3 linked regions of the Neurospora crassa OR74A genome follow. The protein of the gene in region 1 interacts with the protein of each later gene in a pairwise test. Links are inferred from orthologs where the notes say so. Each region holds a gene or a part of one and is shown on either strand. Other genes may lie near its edges.

The links.
Region 2: the proteins of NCU01022 (region 1) and NCU00301 interact in binary tests that used the Saccharomyces cerevisiae proteins (3 or more experiments, as listed by UniProt). The link is inferred for Neurospora crassa OR74A from reciprocal best matches to the Saccharomyces cerevisiae genes UTP25 and SAS10.
Region 3: the proteins of NCU01022 (region 1) and NCU03952 interact in binary tests that used the Saccharomyces cerevisiae proteins (3 or more experiments, as listed by UniProt). The link is inferred for Neurospora crassa OR74A from reciprocal best matches to the Saccharomyces cerevisiae genes UTP25 and MPP10.

What each region holds. Positions count from the first base shown.
Region 1 is NC_026505.1:2,700,940-2,705,121, reverse strand, and holds NCU01022 (DUF1253 domain-containing protein), read right to left. Parts: upstream 2,801-4,182; 5' UTR 2,601-2,800; coding exon 2,359-2,600; intron 2,299-2,358; coding exon 1,582-2,298; intron 1,517-1,581; coding exon 220-1,516; 3' UTR 105-219; downstream 1-104. Other genes in the region: NCU01021 (eukaryotic translation initiation factor 3 subunit EifCf), read left to right, coding at 3,436-3,543, 3,779-4,182. UniProt on the Saccharomyces cerevisiae protein: DEAD-box RNA helicase-like protein required for pre-18S rRNA processing, specifically at sites A0, A1, and A2.
Region 2 is NC_026503.1:3,361,412-3,367,981, reverse strand, and holds NCU00301 (Sas10/Utp3 family protein), read left to right. Parts: upstream 1-2,526; 5' UTR 2,527-2,675; coding exon 2,676-4,070; intron 4,071-4,128; coding exon 4,129-4,617; 3' UTR 4,618-4,821; downstream 4,822-6,570. Other genes in the region: NCU00302 (3-ketodihydrosphingosine reductase tsc-10), read right to left, coding at 839-1,771, 1,842-1,997; gpr-5 (PQ loop repeat protein), read left to right, coding at 6,107-6,165, 6,228-6,570. UniProt on the Saccharomyces cerevisiae protein: Primarily required at the G2/M phase. Essential for viability: involved in nucleolar processing of pre-18S ribosomal RNA as part of the ribosomal small subunit (SSU) processome.
Region 3 is NC_026506.1:2,220,068-2,226,697, forward strand, and holds NCU03952 (U3 small nucleolar ribonucleoprotein Mpp10), read left to right. Parts: upstream 1-2,305; 5' UTR 2,306-2,714; coding exon 2,715-5,093; 3' UTR 5,094-5,546; downstream 5,547-6,630. UniProt on the Saccharomyces cerevisiae protein: Involved in nucleolar processing of pre-18S ribosomal RNA. Required for the early cleavages at sites A0, A1 and A2 during 18S ribosomal pre-RNA processing.

The sequences.
Region 1 (4,182 bases):
GGACTTGGGAGACTGGCAAACCATATGCCCCGTTCCATAGACTGGTGACTTTCAGGATGTTGTCTTATTGCTCACTAGGTACGTACAGCAGTAGTAGGTATTCTATTTTAACAACTATGCAACCAACTTTTTCAATCCATTATGTAAACCCAATCCCCTTGGCAGTTTTGATTATCCGACGCCTTTATACATACATACCATACGACTGACTGGACCTTTTTACACAAAATCAAAAGTATCGCCCTGCTCCGTAATCATCTTGCCCGCCCTCTTGGTCCCCACGATCCTCTCCAGCTTCATAATATCATACTTGCTGAACATGACCTTGACGTGCCCCTGCCCGTGCTCTAGCATCAGCGCCTGCTCGCTCTTCTGCAGGTACCCGCCCGCAATCTCCCTGTAGAAGATGGGGTTATCCGGCAAGCCATAAAAGATGACGCGCTTGACGCCCTTGATGGCGTACCGCCTAAAGTGGTGGGCGCGCTCCGTGTACAGCAGCACGCGGTGGCGGCCCGTCAGGAAATGCGAGCGCGCGCGCGACGCTTCGGGTGTGTCGGCGTACTCGGAGATGTTGCCGAACGTGACGCTCTCGACGGCCGGGTTATTGGCAAAGTAGTTGCGCACCCGCACAAAGTCGAGGTACGAGGGGATGAAGATGAGCGTTCCCGCCGCGTCCTTGGCGGCCCGCTTGACCAGCGTCGGCACGATGGCCTTGGTGAAGTAGGCGAAGCGGGCGTCCGGGTCGGCAGCAATGGAGGCCGCATCGAACCGGCTAAAGGTCTGGCGCGTCTTGACGCCCAGGTACTGGATCACGCCTGGGTATTCGGCTTGCAGCCGGGCTTTGCCTGCCCAGTTGTGGCAGTAAAGACGCTGCAACTCGGCCAGCTCGGGCGTGTTGAAGGCGCTGAAAATCACCGTCTGCCGGAAGTACTTGGCTTGGTCGTCGAGGTACCAGGAGCGCACGCGGGAGAAGTCGCAGCCGTGGGCGTCGCGGGGCTGGAGGTTGAGGTGCTCAAAGATGAACTCGACGTGCTCCCAGTTCTGCATGAGCAGGGCGTCGGCCTGGTCGACAATGACGAGCTCGATGGACGAGAGGAAGTCGTAGTCGAGCTTCTTCTTCTCTTCCTCGGAACCGATGGCCATGCGCAGACCGAGAGGGGAGGCAAAGATGATGTCCGAGTTGTAGAACTGCGAGAAGTACTTGATGGTCTTGCGAGTGAACTTCATACCGAGGCGGAACATGTCGTCGTCGTTGCCGGCGAAGAGGTCGCGGAAGTCTTCGGGTTTGTCGTCAGAGAACTTGGTGGACTTGTCGACATAGCCATCGTCGAAACGCTTGCGGTTTTCTTGTTGCTCAGGAGCGGCGACCTTGCAGATCATTTCGACCATTTTGACGCATGACTGGCGGGTAGGGAGAATCATCAAGACCTTGGGGCGGGTAAAGCCCTGGTCTCTAAGCTCAAGGGTGTCGTCTCTTTGCAACTTGGTGTTGTTCTTGATTACACGGTCACGAGTCCTGAGTAGGTATCAAAGTCAGCTCTCTGTTTACTCTTTTTTTTTTCGTGTTCCCATCAGACTTACTTGAAAACATGGTTGAGCGCATGCAGACACGCCATCCGCCTTATGCTCTCAGACGATGCCACTGACCGGTTGCAGTAAAGCATGTCTTGATAGTTGAAGAGAAGAGGTGCTACTGCCTTCTCAGCTTCGTCGAACTCGGTGTGCTTAGCCATCGATTCGGCTAATCGTTGCTTGAGCTTAAGATCGCCAACTCCAGAAATGGAATGGGGAAGTTTCTGCTCAGCTGAGTCGCCTGTCTCTGGGGTGTTGTAGTATATCCTGTTGGAGTTTTTTGCTATCCTGTCGGTCCTCCACTTGTTCGCCTGAATAGCCTTTATCCTAGCCTGAAATGTCGCCTCGTCTGGGGCAGTAAAGTGAGTTTCGAAGGGGTCTGAGTCGTCGAGGTCGTCATCTTCGTCGAACAGGTCCTCTAATGGTGCATCCTGGGGATCTTCCTCTGGCTCGTCAACTGCATCCACGTCCTCCGTCACCTTCTCATTGTCTTCGTCGTCGCTGTTATCGTCGTCTTTCGTCTTGGTAACTTTGTTCGGACCTTCCTCCTCCGGGTGATCCAACTTCCTCTTTTTCGTCTTGGTTGCACTCTGGAAGCTCTTCAGAAGACTCATGTATGGCTGACCAGACTGGGCATCCTCCTCCTCATCCTCCTCTTCTGATTCCTCAATCTCATCCTCAGAAACATTGGATTCCTCTTCAGAGATGTCCTCTTCCTCATCTTCCCTGTTTCAGTCAGTATGCTTTCCAGTTCTTTTCTGCCCTTGAGTGTTGAAATTTTCTTACTCTTCGTCCTTGTCGGCAAGTCGGGCGTCGTTGAACTTGGATGAGCGAGGGCCGAAACCTCCTCTGGCACCACCCCTCGAACTTCCCCTGCCGCGCCCTCTCGAAGCTCCTCTGGCGCCTCCTCTGGAGCCCCCTCCCCTGGATCCTCCTCTGCCTCTGAAACCTCCTGCACCACCTCTTCCACGACCTCCTCCTCCTCTTCCTCCTCCTCCACGGTCACCACCGCGACCTCGAATTGCCATTTTGATGCGGTAAGAGTTTTCTCAAATTATGAGATGTGAGGTTGGTGATATGACAATTGGTGATTGATGTGTGAAATCAGATTCAACAAAGGTGAAAAAAACGATACGGAAATTGTATTCAGCCTTGTCAACGAGCCAAGAAGAAAAAGTCCAAAAGTCCAATGGAATCTTGAAGGAAGGGCTTGGCAAAGAGCAGCCTTGTAACGCCACCCCTCCCCCTTGACCCTTGCGAACTGAAGAAAGAACAATCTCAAGTCCGCCAAGCTGAACATGGAAGTGTGGAGACCGGCTTATCTTATCTTAGCGCGCACAACACCCAAAGGTCCCGCATTGCGCTGCAAAACCAAAAATTCGAGCAGAGGTACCGCCTACTGGTCCCCATATTTTGCGAAAGCTGGATGGAGTACCTCCCGGTCTAGGGCGAGAGAATGGAAGTTAGTGACTGCCTGTGAACAGTGACGGACCCAACTCGATGGCCGGGCTGCCACCGAGACCTACCCTCACACTGGAGTGCCATTGACATTTGACACCCATTCTCGGCAGTGAAAAAAAGTGTAGTGTACAACCGTAAAAAGTGACTTCTCTTTCTGCCAGTGCCCAGCCCGTGCCCACTCTTCACCAGCGCAAGCCCACCCCACCCCCCGGCCAACCGCTAGCCTCTCTCTCACCCCGAACCCGAAAACAGCGTCTGCTGTCTACATTTTCAAAGAGCCCCATAATCTCAACCTCGACGGCTCCTCCCCTCCTCCTCGAACTCCCGTCCTGCTTCCTCTATCAACCACCACACCACCCCTCCACCATCTCTCACTCAACTACAGCCCAGCCCGTCGTCAAAATGGCTGTCGATCAGGAGTCTTTCGTCCATCTCTCGCGCCCCCTTGCGCCCAATGTGCTTGGCTTCGGTGTCAGCAATGCCCCGCTTACCGTCAACATCCAGCCTCAGGTACGTCAACAGCACCAATTTCCATACTACAGTCCTATATCTGCCCCTCCACTCCTATCTACCTAGTCCCCTACCTTGATGTCCCCCTTTGCGCATGTCAAGCTTACCTACCTACCTACCTACCTATATCCTCTCTGCTACCCCGCCGTCACCACCGCCACTACCACCACTACCATTGCCCAAGACCATACAACACCTAGCTGACATGTAGCCCTTCGCTTTCCTCACCAAATAGGCTGTCTTCTCCATCATCGACCATGCCGTCAGACGTGACGACCGCGACACCCAGTCGACACGGGTGATTGGTGCCCTCGTGGGTGTCCGCAGCGAGGACGGCAGCGAGGTCGAAGTCCGCTCCACCTTCGCCATCCCCCACACCGAGAACGAGGACCAGGTTGAGGTGGACGTCGAGTACCAGAAGAACATGTTGGCCCTGACGCTCAAGGCCAACCCCCGCGAGACCCTGCTGGGTTGGTACACCACCTCGCACGAGCTCAACAGCTTCAGCGCCCTGATCCAGAACTTCTTCGCCTCCCCCGAGACCGGCACCTTCCCCCACCCGGCCGTCCACCTGACCATCGGCACCGAGGCTGGCGCGACCATCGACACCAAGACGTACATCTCCGCTCCTGTGGCCGT
Region 2 (6,570 bases), on another chromosome or scaffold:
CAGACGCCCACCTGCTATGTCAGGGCGCACAAGCCACAAAACACTGACAACGAAGAAAATGGTCCAATCCTGAAATGTTATCCGTGCCTTCTGCCCCTCCCGCCGCGATCCTCGTAGATGGTCAACGGAAGTGCCATCAAAAAAAGTGGAGTAAATCGCCCGGTGTAGGAAATATCAATGTTTCCCCCAAAGTCTAGAAATGGAGCGTATTAGAGAGTCCAGATGGGGTGGGAATGATGACTATAGTATTGATATGATGCATGTCTGTTCACGGTGCTGGCCCGATAATCGTAGAAACGGGACGTGGGGAATGGATGGAGTTCCGAGCTAATGTAGTTCACCGACTGATACCTATCCACATGTATACTGGCGAAGGTCAAAAGCTCTGAACCGAAGCTCACACATTCCATCGATACAATCCGTAAGTCTAGTATACAGTAAGAGCAGGTTCTGCCAGAAGATTCATACAGTCTGCAACAGGGGCATACCATGGGTTTAGCAGGTAGTCATCTTTCTGTCTCCGCACTCACCAAGTGGTGCTCCAAACATCTTGACGTCGGAATATACACTTATTGCTGGACAACACAAGCAGGGTATAAAGTCGTTGTCACCCAACTAAGCATGGATTGCTCATTCTTGGTGTCAAAACGCATCCGGATCGCGGTGAAGACGTAGTGCTTTGACTTCAAGGTGAGTGTCTCACAAAGGAGACGGGGGACTTGTCCAGGTTGTCTTGAGGCTGATATCGGTCTATTACAACAACAAAGTTATTACAGTATTTTTATGTTCATAGATATCATATACACATCCATACAAAAGAACAGATCCAACCATCGCATCACTTCTTCTTGGGATGCGTAAAAGGATGCCCCTTTTCCCTCGCCCACTTCACAATCGTTGAGTTCATCCCCCTCAACACGAAGAAGTAGATGATCGGTATGAGCCACCCCATCAACGTGTCCAGCACCCAGTTGTTCCTCGGCGACCCGCCCATGATCCCGCACTGCATCAGCCTTCCCAGGAATGACACATCGACAAAATACTTGCCAGCCTCCAGCCCGGCAATCGCCCTCCTTGCTACCGTATCCGGGCTTTCCGCTGGCTCGTCCTTTTCCAGCTCCACCGTGATGTCCGGCTTCGTCTGATTTTCCCTCTCGTAGCCCGGTGATACAATCGTGCCGGGATACACAATGTGCACCTTGACCGGGTTATCTGGGTAGTAATTGACCTCCATCGCCAGGGTATCCGCCAGTCCTCTCAGCGCCCATTTGGTTGGGGTGTACGGGCCATAGCCCAAAATCGCAAAAAGCGCCAACATTGACGCGGTAAATACCAAGTGCTTCGGCTCTCCGTTGGGTCCCGTGCTGTTTTCGGGTGCCAGCCACTCCCTCAAAATCGCCCGCGACATCTCCGCCGACCCAAAGTAGTTGACGTCCATGTTGCGGCGTGCGGCCGCCATGCTGCCATCGTCGGTCCACAGCAGAGGCGTCGACATGCCGGCCACGCACCAGACGATGTCCGGGGAGCGCCCGCCATTCCAGGCGATAGCTTCGGCGAGGACCGCGGCGGCGTAGTCGTGCTCGGAAACGTCGGCTGAGATGTAAGTGAAGCGTTGTGTGGACGGGTTCTTGGCGGCGGCGCGGACGTCGACGAGGGCTTCTTCAAGGCGCCCGACGTTGCGCGAGACGAGGATGACATTGGCGCCCTTTTGCGAAAGTTGGATGGCCGCTGAGCGGCCCATGCCTTCGGAGGCGCCGGTTAGGAGGACGGTCTGGTAACAGGGGTTGAGTTAGTGTTGTTTGGAGGTCGGGTCAGGTCGGGTGAGGCTTCGGGGCGCATACCCGGCCCTCGACTGGCATGTGGTTTTTGGAGCTGAAGAGACCCATTGTAGCAAATATGCCAATGGCCGCGACGACGGCTGCAACTGGGAGAGACCAGGAGGTGCTGAGGGTTTTCAATTGTTCCATCAGCGACTCTGAGAAGAGATAATGGTTCATCCTTCCTTGGATCGTGAAAGAAGATCGGGCTCGAGGAAAGTGGAATTGTTGACGCGGCGGCGCCTAAGCTATTCTGTATACGTCTAGAGTACGAACGAGTACCTCTACGGCGTAAATTTAGTGGATGCTGTCAGCAGTTCCCGTCGTACTGGAGCTTACACCCCTGTCTGTAAGTGACTTGTTGATGGGTGATGATTCGACCGATTTCTTCGCACTCCGTAGGAAAATGAGGTTTCTGGAACCATTTGCTGGAGTTTGCGTTTTCGAGTCTTCAGAAGCGGTTTTCTCTACTGTCATAACTGAACCCATTGAGGTCATGTCAACGTAAATCTGGCAGGCCTGGGGGGCATCTTGGAGCTTCCCGTCGACCCTGAGGACGGGATGGAAGCTTTGACCATTTCAGATGTAACTGTGGAGCATCTTCAATTGTGGGGTTAGGCAGCCTGCATGAGAGTGGAGCTGGGCGGTCGAGGTTCCGCTGAGAATGGATCGCAAATTGACAAGAGCAAAAAAATTCTGCCGCTTCAACATTTGTTGCCCGCCTAGCGAACGAACCCACCAGCCCATTCAACGAGCATCTCCAAGTGCCTTTTGGCAGCGTCTTCACGTCAACGTTTCTCAGTCGCGCCAAACTCCATCCAACACGCCTGAATAGATAACCGCGACACAAACGCAAAAATGGCGAAGAAGAGAAAAGCCCCGAGACCGACCGGTCCCGCCGAGCCTCGCGAGGTCGATGCCAAGGACGCCCGCCTTACCGTTAAGACTTACAAAGATGTCGCCAACTCCGAAGACGAATACTGGGAGAACCAGGATCGCATCGACTTTGACGACAGCGATGATGGCAGACAATCCAAGCGCAGGCGCCAAGACAAGGAGGAGGAGTTCCTAGAGGCTTCTGACGAGGAGGTTTTCGAGGAGGACGAATCCGATGAGGAGAGCGAACACGAAGACGCCGCGCCCGCGAAGGGCAAGAAGGTCAAGACAACAGTACTTTCCGACGAAGAGATGGGTGGTGAAGAGGAGGAAGAAGGTGACGAAGGATGGTGGGGTTCCTCCAGAAAGGACTACTACAATGCCGACCAGATCGAGACCGAGGCCGATGCCTTGGAGGAAGAGGCTGAGGCAAAGAGGCTCCAGGCCAAGAAGTTGGCCAAAATGTCCGAGGCCGATTTCGCGTTTGACGAGAGCGAATGGCTAGGAACCAAGGAGGAGGCCGAGGGAGAGGAGGATGTCATTACCGAGAAACTCAACGAGATCGAAGTCACAGAGGACATGGGGCCGGAAGAAAGATACAAGCTTCTACAGAGCCGATATCCCGAGTTTGACTACCTGGCGCAGGAGTTTAGGGAGCTGCAGCCGATTCTCACAACTCTTCAAAAAGAGGCCGAGGGCAAGCCTGCCAAGTCTCTGGAGATGGTCAAGTTCTGGACTCTTGGGTGTTACATCGCTTCACTCGCCAGTTATTTCGCTATCCTGACTTCGCCAGCAAGAGACAGCCAAGGTGTGTCCAAGACGATCAGCCCTACGGAACTCAGGGACCACGAGGTTATGGGCACGTTAATGAGCTGTCGCGAGGCCTGGCTTAAGGTCAAGGAACTCAAGCCGCTCAAGAGCGTCTCCTCGACCAGCGGCATGCTTTCGCCACCCGAAGATGAGGGCGAGTATGATGACCTGTCTGACGACGATATGGAGGACTTCAAGAAGATGCTCAAGAAGAGCAAGCGCGAATCCAAGGCTGAGCTCAAGGCCAAGGCGAAGAAGGAGGCCGAGAAGGCCAAGAAGGCCAGGGCTGTCGAGCAGTCTCTTGCCGATCTCTCCAGTTTGCTTGAAACCACCAAGACGGCAACCAAGGCCAGCAAGAAGTCTGTCAAGGTCGACAAGCGCGATGACGATGAGCGCTCCGACTTTGGTGACGAGGAGATCCTTGAAGCTCACGTGGCCAAGGAGAAGGCTGCTCGCAAGAAGAGTCTCAAATTCTACACCTCCCAGATTGTGTCCAAGTCCGCCAAGCGTGCGGATGCGGGTCGCAACGCCGGTGGTGATGACGATCTTCCCTACCGTGAGAGATTTGTAAGTCGGCCATTGCCTAAAAAACATGCCGTGTTGTCATATACTGACTTTTGCGCAGAGAGACAGGCAAGCACGGCTCAACGCCGAGGCCGAGAAGCGCGGCAAGAAAGACAGCAAGCACGGCGCCGTGCTGGGCGAGGGCGACAGCGACGACGAGGACAAGGCCGTTGCCAAGCAGGTGCGCGGAGAGGAGGACGAGTACTACGACATGGTGGCGCACAACGCGGCCAAGAAGAAGGAGGACAAGGCGGCCAAGTACGAGGCTTTGGCGGCTGCCAAGGGCGCCCGGGTCGTGGAGGAGACGACGATCGGCCCCGACGGCAAGCGCCAAATCAACTACCAGATCCAGAAGAACAAGGGCCTCACGCCGCATCGCAAGAAGGAGAACCGCAACCCGCGTGTCAAGAAGAGGATGAAGTACGCGGAGAAGCAGAAGAAGCTCAAGAGCGTCAAGGCCGTGTACAAGGGCGGCGAGGGCAAGGGCGGGTACCAGGGAGAACTGTCGGGTATCAAGACCGGCTTGGTCAAGAGTATCAAGCTTTCTTGATAGGGCTCTGGTTGTCGTGGTTGTTGGACTGGTTTGTAGTACTCTGGGTATATCATGCATGTATAGATTTTTGGGTTGTTGATAATCATGGCCTCAACGGAAATGGAAAAAAGCAGGCTTGCACACACAATGGCATTGTATTTCTTGAACACACTTGATACCTCTTCAAGATCTACAATATCTACAATGTCCAGTATTCTCAACACCGGAGGTCGCCGGTACTCGCACCCTGTTCAATCGTGTTAGTACAGGTTCATGGTAAACCCCGGGTCTGAGAATAGGGCTATATAAGAATCCCTCTCATTTTTTTTCTTTTTCTTTTCCATCCCAATTTTTAGTTCCTCTTCGTTTCTGTGCCCTTCCCTGGCATTTCTTGTGTGCCAGATTCCGAAAGAGCGAAGGCGATGTTGACTTGGAAAGGATACAAGGCCTGCGAGGGAGCCAATAGGAGCTCTGAGACGAATCAATGCAAATGCCCAAATCTCAACTTTGGATAAATGTAACACCACCACATGATAAATTATTAGATTGGGCAGTTTCTGAACAAACACAACATCCTAAACCGAACACTTCAATTTCGTTATCTTCAGTACAGGTATCTTCAACACGGATCGTTCAAGAAGTAGAGGTAATTTTTGGGATGAAACACTGGAATGTTAGAGCAATGATTAGGACATGCCACATTATTTTTTTCCAGTCCACCATGACTTCTTAAACCCACCAGGCAAAAGGAAGAGTTCCAAACCAACAGTCTGTTTTCGGTCTATCCAGAAACCCAGGTTTCCCTCGAAGGGTTCTCATGCTGTTGTTGGATGTTGTTGTACTAGGGTTTCACCTAGCGGTTGACGTACCCCACAAGATCCACCTACAGCCCGGGACGCTTGAGCCGCCTGAGACGTGCATGCTTTTAAGGGCTCTTTTGCCGCCGCCGAGGATGCATTACACGTATCTTGCAGCCAGGCGGGTCAACCTTGGGTCTTGGGGGAACCGGTTTGCGGATGAAGAGGCAAAGGATTTAAAACTAGTCATGCGACCATCAGACTTTTCACCATGTATGACTCGAATCGGATTGTAATCAGGTCGACTCTTTCCTTTGTTCAGCCTTTTTTGTTGACTTTGCATTTTGCATCGTTATCTTGAGCCTCACTTCAGTGTGTACTCTGTAACTCTTTGACCGACCGCTCATGAATCCTCAGGGCGGCTCTCAATTGAAGTGACGTATCTCCTGTCTACCAAACCCACAAAACAAGGACACAACAACAAAGAGCGAGGTGAACTGGGCATCCAAGTTCCAACGAATCTTGGGGGCAAACAACTCAATCGATAAGGCGGGAGAGTAAAGCGCATCAACAAAAACGCTTTCATTCAACCATCGCATCCTTCCTCACGCTTAAACCCACAAGTATTCTCAACCTGTACCTATCAAGAGACGGTTGCACAAAACAGTGAGACAGCATTACACGCGGTCCTACGGACAACAGCAGCCACCATGGCGCCCCCGACCGAACTCCTCAACCTCGACGTCGAGGCCATATCGGGGATCCTCGGGTAGGTCTCATTCCACTCCCAATTAACTTCACCTTCTCCATCTTACTAAACCCTCTCAACAGCTCCGTATCAATAGCATGCTGGGTCGTCGTCTTCTCCCCGCAAATCATCGAAAACTTCCGCCGCTCATCCGCCGACGGGCTCTCCATCCAATTCATCATCATCTGGCTAACGGGCGATGTCTTCAACATCTTGGGGGCCGTATTGCAAGGGGTCCTGCCGACCATGCTCATCTTGGCCATTTATTACACCATTGCCGACGTGGTGCTTTTGGCGCAATGTTTCTATTACCGGGGATTTACCTGGCGGGATGAAGTGGTCCCCACCATTGCCATTGACTCCGACGACAGTGAAGCTGCTTCAGAGCGTGATATGGGGAGTAGACGCGGAAAGAACAAGGGTAAG
Region 3 (6,630 bases), on another chromosome or scaffold:
GACTGTGCTCGATTCCATATGGCCTGTGTGGGTCCCATACAAATCGACAGCCAAGCTCAGCCAAGACCCAAAGCTTGGCATCTGTCGCGCCAACTTTCGCGACCGCAAGTCACCACCAAAGTCACCACCAAATGTCATTATCTTAACAACGATAATAAGAACTTAAAACCACCTTTTTTTAAAGCGTTGGACTTTCATTCACACGCAGGGGCCTCTCACCGGCCCCCTACACCCCCGGAACTAACCCTAACGCCTAACCCTAACCACTAACCCTAACCACTAATCTAGGTTACCGGGAGGTGACATGTGCCTTGGCCCACACAGGCTGTTTGGAATCGCGCACAGTCGCTTTATCCGGGTCGGCCAAAACCACCTCCAGGGTAACAACGATTGATCGTCCTCCACCAGGTTCCCCATACACACCCATTATGGTTGCGTAACTGGCTCGTCCAGGACAAAAAGAAAAACATGGTCTCCAGAACATGATGTCAACGGCATATTGACAAAACACCTACGAGTTTGTAAGGCTGTAGACACTTGTTGAGAACCATAAATGACCATGAAGACGAATAAAAGAGGTAAAATTAACGAGAGGAAATGTCATGATTCTGGTCTGGGCCGGCTGCAGTCTCTTTCATTTTGTCTCGACCGAGGTTAGGTAGGTACGGTACTCAAGCATTTGCACCGTGGTCCTACCAAGAGAAAACGATCGAGTTGCCACTGGTACAGCTGCAAGACGGCTCCCAACAGCATAGATGGGGTGGGGCGACGGACAGGTGCTCTTGACAAGTCGTGTTGTGAAGACCTGTTGTGGGATGCAGTTTCTCCTCTCACCCTCACATAGAGCCTGCCAGAAGGGAGGCGGATATGGAAAATAGAAAAGAATGAATCGGCCCGTCCGGATTTTCACAAGGAGATCTCCTTCGCTTGACAAATTAGGTAACATCCGGCAACTCAAAAGTATTTCCCGTCCCTCCATCTCGACGTATCTTCCAGCTCTGTAACCAAACAGTGTGCGATTGGCAGTTACATAGTGTGAGCCAACCGAAACTTCTCTCGCGACCTCCTGTACGACTTTGGAAATGTTGCCGTTAACTTGGCCATTCTACTCTAGGTAGGTAGCAGAGATAGATGGTGTGATGCGATTGGACCGAGCAACGCCACTTAGCGATCAAGTTCATGTGTCGTACTATACAGGAGGCCACTGACACTTGATGGGATCCTCGCCGTTCACGACAGCAAGTTAGTGGTTACATAGCAAACATCTTCACCGTGAGGTTCACAGTTATTTCCCGGCGAACATGAAAAAGAGGTCATATTGAGAGCACGCAACGCACGACCATAGAGGCTGGGATCACCAAAGCCACCATCGCCCTCACATTGACCTCGGCAACCGCTAAAGAACATGATACAATTCCCTGGCCTGGGATACGAAGGTCTTGAGTATCACTCGCAGCTCGGCTCGGCGGGACACTCTCCCGCGAGTTGCATTCAATGAAGGCTTAGACGGTCCAGACCCTAATGCAGCACGTCAACGCTGCTGTCGTATTTTGAAAGAATACCTCATGGTCCGTCAAAATTCTCACGGGCGATACCATATGCATAGGGATGTGGCTTGTGAAGGAACTTCAACAAGTGTTATGACTTGCAGCATCTTTCCCCGAAGGTGCGCAAATAACACCCTTACATTTCTACTATGTAATAAGAGCTTTCTCTGCACGTTATCCAGACCATGAAGAAGAGCCGGCTGGGTAAGTAGCCTACCTCTACAGAAAATAGTCCATCAACGTCTGTCGCAGAGATCTCATTACGATGTTGAAAAGAACACGAGAAGCATACTGTAATGTAGCTAGTATGAGGCAAACCTAGCGCTCTTCCTCAATGGGGTTAATCGTTGGTTTAACATTTTACAGTTCTTGCACAATTTAATTACCTTTTACCGTTTGACAAGAAACTTCCAGTTACGACGAAAGTGAAGCGGCGAAAGATACAATAGACTATGTACGAGCTGATGGGATTGATAGGGTAGTCTGGAATTTTAGATAAGGAAGTGCTGATAACAAGCTAGGTGCCTGTGTCGAAACGGCGACTTCACCTATCCAACAGCACTGGAGATCGTTGCGTGATTGCTTACTGAGTTTCCAGTAACTTCAGAGTAACTCGCTAGCGTATGCTATATTTAAAAAAAGGTCATTGTGAATTCATCCCCTCTCTCAAGCTTGATGTCGAGCATCTCCTTTGAGACTGCATGCACTTTGTGGTTTGTTTACTTGACATTGTCATCCGATTATAAGTGTTAAGGCAACCTCGTCTTATAGCGGTGCACCGCCCTGAAGCTTAACAACAAGAGAAGTGGGACCTACTTCCATTTCCAGAGAGCAGAATCACCCATCATTGGTCAATTCACAGCCAGCCCCATAAGCTGGTGCGGGGACGCCTGCCTCCACGCTTCGCCGTTTCCTGGACCTTGGAGAGCGCTATGGCAGAAAAAATTTTGGTCCATCAATATCGCCGGCTGGCAACCAAACATCGTCAGGTCGAACTTTTTTTTGTTTTGGTACGGGCAACGGCAAACACCGACGCCCTGCCATTTCTTAGTCAAGCGTCCATATTGAACCCTCAAGTCAGACACTTGTATGACAAGGCCAGCCTCGATACCCTAGCCTTGATTGATCTTCTTACAGCATTAGTCCAACCCTACCTAAAAAACAGACATGGCAGCTGGCAGCATAACCTCTTCCGTAACCTCGACATCCCAAACAATCACCCACGACCCCTCCACACACAACAGCGTCATGGCCGCTACCCTCGCCGCATCGTCGAGCGGCAGCACCTCTCCTTCGACAATTGCCAACAACCCCGTCGTCGCCTCCTTCCTCTCGGCCCTGGCCGACGAGTCCAACCGCCACGTCTTCCTGCAGCCGCCCTCGACCCTTCCCGCCGGATCCCTCCTGCTCGCCAAGGAGACCCTCGACGCGCTCGCCTCGCAGGTCAGTGACCACCAGCAGGCAAAGCTGAAAGAGATCGCGGCCACCATCGGTGGAAAGAAGCGCAAGCGTGAGGCTGGCTATGACAAGAATGCCGTGCTCAAGATTCGCAAGCTGCACGTCGACGACGGCTTCGAGACGGAGCAGATTTGGCAGCAGGCCAAGAAGATCATTGCCAGCGCCACAAAGGAGGCTGGCGATGTGCTGAAGGAGCTGGAGGAGAACGGGATTGTGGGCACCGGCGAGGAACAAGAGAAGACCATTGAGTTTGGAGAGGATGGGTTTGAGCTTGGTTCTGATGAGGAGGAGGAGGACGATGAGGAGGATGCTGATAGCGAATCTGGTTCTGGCTCTGAAGGAGAAGAGGATGAGGAGGATGACGAAGAAGAATTAGAAGGAGAAGAGGGCAGCCAGATCGACGACGATGAAGAAATCGAGATCGATGGCGAAGAGGTTGAATTCTCGGACGAAGATGGAGAAGGAGAGTTTGATGAGGAGGAGGAGGAAGAAGAAGAAGAAGAAGAAGAAGAAGAAGAGGAAGAGGATGCGCCAGAACTTGTCGAGGATCCCAACGGCCTCAACGACGGCTTCTTCTCAATAGACGACTTCAACCGGCAGACACAGTTGTGGGAGGACGCGGATGCCCGTGCGGACCCCAACGTCGATGCCGACAGCGACGACGAACAGCTAGACTGGCACGCCGATCCTTTCGCGACAAAGCCAAAATCAAAGAAGGGCAAGAGCGACAAGAAGAAGGACGAAGACCAGGATGAGGACGACGTCGACATGGGCGATGAATCCGAAGACGACGAGGCCCTCGAGGCTGCTGCCGCCGCCCACGCCAAGAAACTCAAGGGCAAGAAGAACGTGGAGCAGCTCGAGGACGATGGCGACGATCTCGGCCTTACAGATGGTGTTCTCGGTATGGACATGGACCTTACCGCCAACGACATTTACTACAAGGACTTCTTCGCGCCACCTCAAAAGAAGAAGACCGGCAACCAAAGGAAAGGAGGCTATTTCCCCAAGAAACTTGAGCAGCCAGATGAGGCCGATATGGAGAGAGCCGAGAATGATGTGCGCCGCGATCTCTTCGACGACATCTCGGAGAATGAAGATGAAGATAAGCTCTCGGATCTTGATGCTGGTGATCCGAGATCTCGCCGGTCCGCCCACGAGCGCAGACAAGCCAAGATTGCCGAGGAGATCCGCAGGCTCGAGTCTGAGCTAGTTGCCAAGCGCGCCTGGACTCTGTCCGGTGAGGCTTCCGCGCAAGCTCGTCCCATGAACTCGCTCCTGGAGGAAGACCTCGAGTTTGAGCATGTCGGAAAGCCTGTCCCCGTCATTACCGAGGAGGTTTCCGAGACGATTGAGGCGCTCATCAAACGCCGCATTCTTGCCAACGAGTTCGACGAGGTTCTCAGGAGACGTCCTGACACCCTCAATAACCCCAACAACGCGCGCCGCGGTCTCGTTGAGATCGACGACACCAAGGGCAAGCAGTCTCTCGCCGAGATCTACGAGGAGGAGCACATCAAGAAGGCCAACCCGGACGAGTACGTCAGCGCTTCGGACGAGAAGCTCACGCGCGACGAGGCCGAGATCAAGAACATGTGGAAGGACATCTGCGCCAAGCTCGACGCCCTCAGCAGCTGGCACTACAAGCCTAAACCCGCCGCACCCACCATCAGCGTTGTCACCGACGTCGCCACCGTCGCCATGGAGGACGCCATGCCCACCACGGCCCAGGGTGTGTCGGGTGGCGAGAGCACGCTCGCGCCCCAGGAGGTGTACGCCCCCGGCAAGGACTCAGTCGAGAAGGGCGAGGTCGTGGCCAAGAGCGGCCTGCCGATTGCCAAGGAGGAGATGAGCCGCGAGGAGAAGGCTAGGAGACGCAGACGCGAGAAGGAGCGCATCCGCAAGGCCGGCGGCCTGGATGCGAACAAGAACATCAGCAAGGGTGCCCAGGAACGCAAGGAGACGATGAGCCAGCTCAAGAAGGGCGGTGTCAAGGTTATTAACCGGAAGGGTGAGACGGTTGGGTTGGATGGCAAGAAGATCGCGGAGCAGAAGGGTCCTACGTCGAGTGGTGCCTTCAAGCTTTAAAGGTCGGGTTGTTAGACGAGGGATAGACGTAGGAAGAAGATGGATGATACCCTGATGGGTTGGACGGGTGGGCAGTCTTGGCTAAGGGCGATCTGTAAAGGTCTTTTTCTTTTGTATGGAATAGGTACATAATTGGGAGTTCAAAAACTATGCATGAGTTTGTTTTTCATCGGCCGTCAGCCGGTATACAATGCTCAACTGTTCACGTTCAACATTGTCGAAGATGATTCTTGTGTGCCTAATATTATGGAGTCAGTACAACAACTAATCCTGGCCCTCTCCAACCTCATTGCTCTGTTTCCCCTCATGCTTTCCTTCTGTTACCCGTCACTATTCTCCGTGTGATCTTTCCTCCAATTCAGCCCAGATCATAGCGACTCATAACTTGGTACCTACCTCTACCTCCACAGGTCTACAAAGTGAAAAAATGCAAAATCAGTCTAGCTATCCACCCTCAGCCAAATTGGTAACTCTCCATTTTCATTACATCTTATTAGTATTTGGGATTGCCTACCCCTACTACTAGCTTGCCCTTTATCAAAAAAAAAAAAAAAAAAAAAAAAAAAAAAAAAAAAAAAAAAAAAAAAAAAAAAAAAAGAAAAGAAAAGAAAGAAAAAAAATAAAAGGAAAAAAAAAGAAACAAAAAAAAAGGAAAAAGGAAAAAGTTCCCTCTACCTTGTTCAAGGCTATCTGTACCCCGGACCTCAGGTTTTGGTTGATTAAGAAGAAGTGAAGAGAGAAGTGAAGAGAGAAGTGAAGAGAGAAGTGAAGAGAGAAGTGAAGAGAGAAGTGAAGAGAGAAGTGAAAAGGGGATAACCCGAGGCTGAAGAGACCATGAAGAGACAGTTAAGCATGTTGTACACTACCTCTTATTCTGTTTGAAACCGTCTTCTTCGTCCGCCCTAATAAGACCTAGTGCCAGACGAACTGTCCAGACTATGTTTGGTATCATTCTACATCCATCATCCGCGTCCACCTCTGCAATCCACCACTGGCTTCTTGATATAGTTTGTTCATTTTTGGATTTATGAGCATGTACCCAAAATTGAAGGGGTAATCACATAGATATACTAGTTCTGGGGAACAGCTCGTGAGCCATTGACTTCTCGAAGACGGTCCGGAGATGTGAATACATACCCATATACGACAGACCATTTGCAGTCCCCTCTCGATCACGATGACTTGTTTGGGAGGGCCAAGGACATATGTGTTTCGAAAATCTCTCCTTGTTTTCATAGCAAGGATTGGCTACTTGAGTCTCTTATGAGGACTTTACAGTCGAACAATGGGTCGTTTTCTGGCCCTCGTCTCACTTGCCAACTGACTCGAGCATATACAGCAAAAGTACACAGTCACACGTCTTGAAGCAAAACAAAGTACAACTGGCCGACACTTTTCCAGCTCATGATGAGCTTTGAACGGATAAGGGAGAAAAAGCAAGACGCAAACTCTGAGCATAATACATCTTGTCTAATTTCCACTGAAGTTCCTTCTTGTGAGCCGTTGTTCTCGAGCTCTTCCGTTCGTCCATGAAATC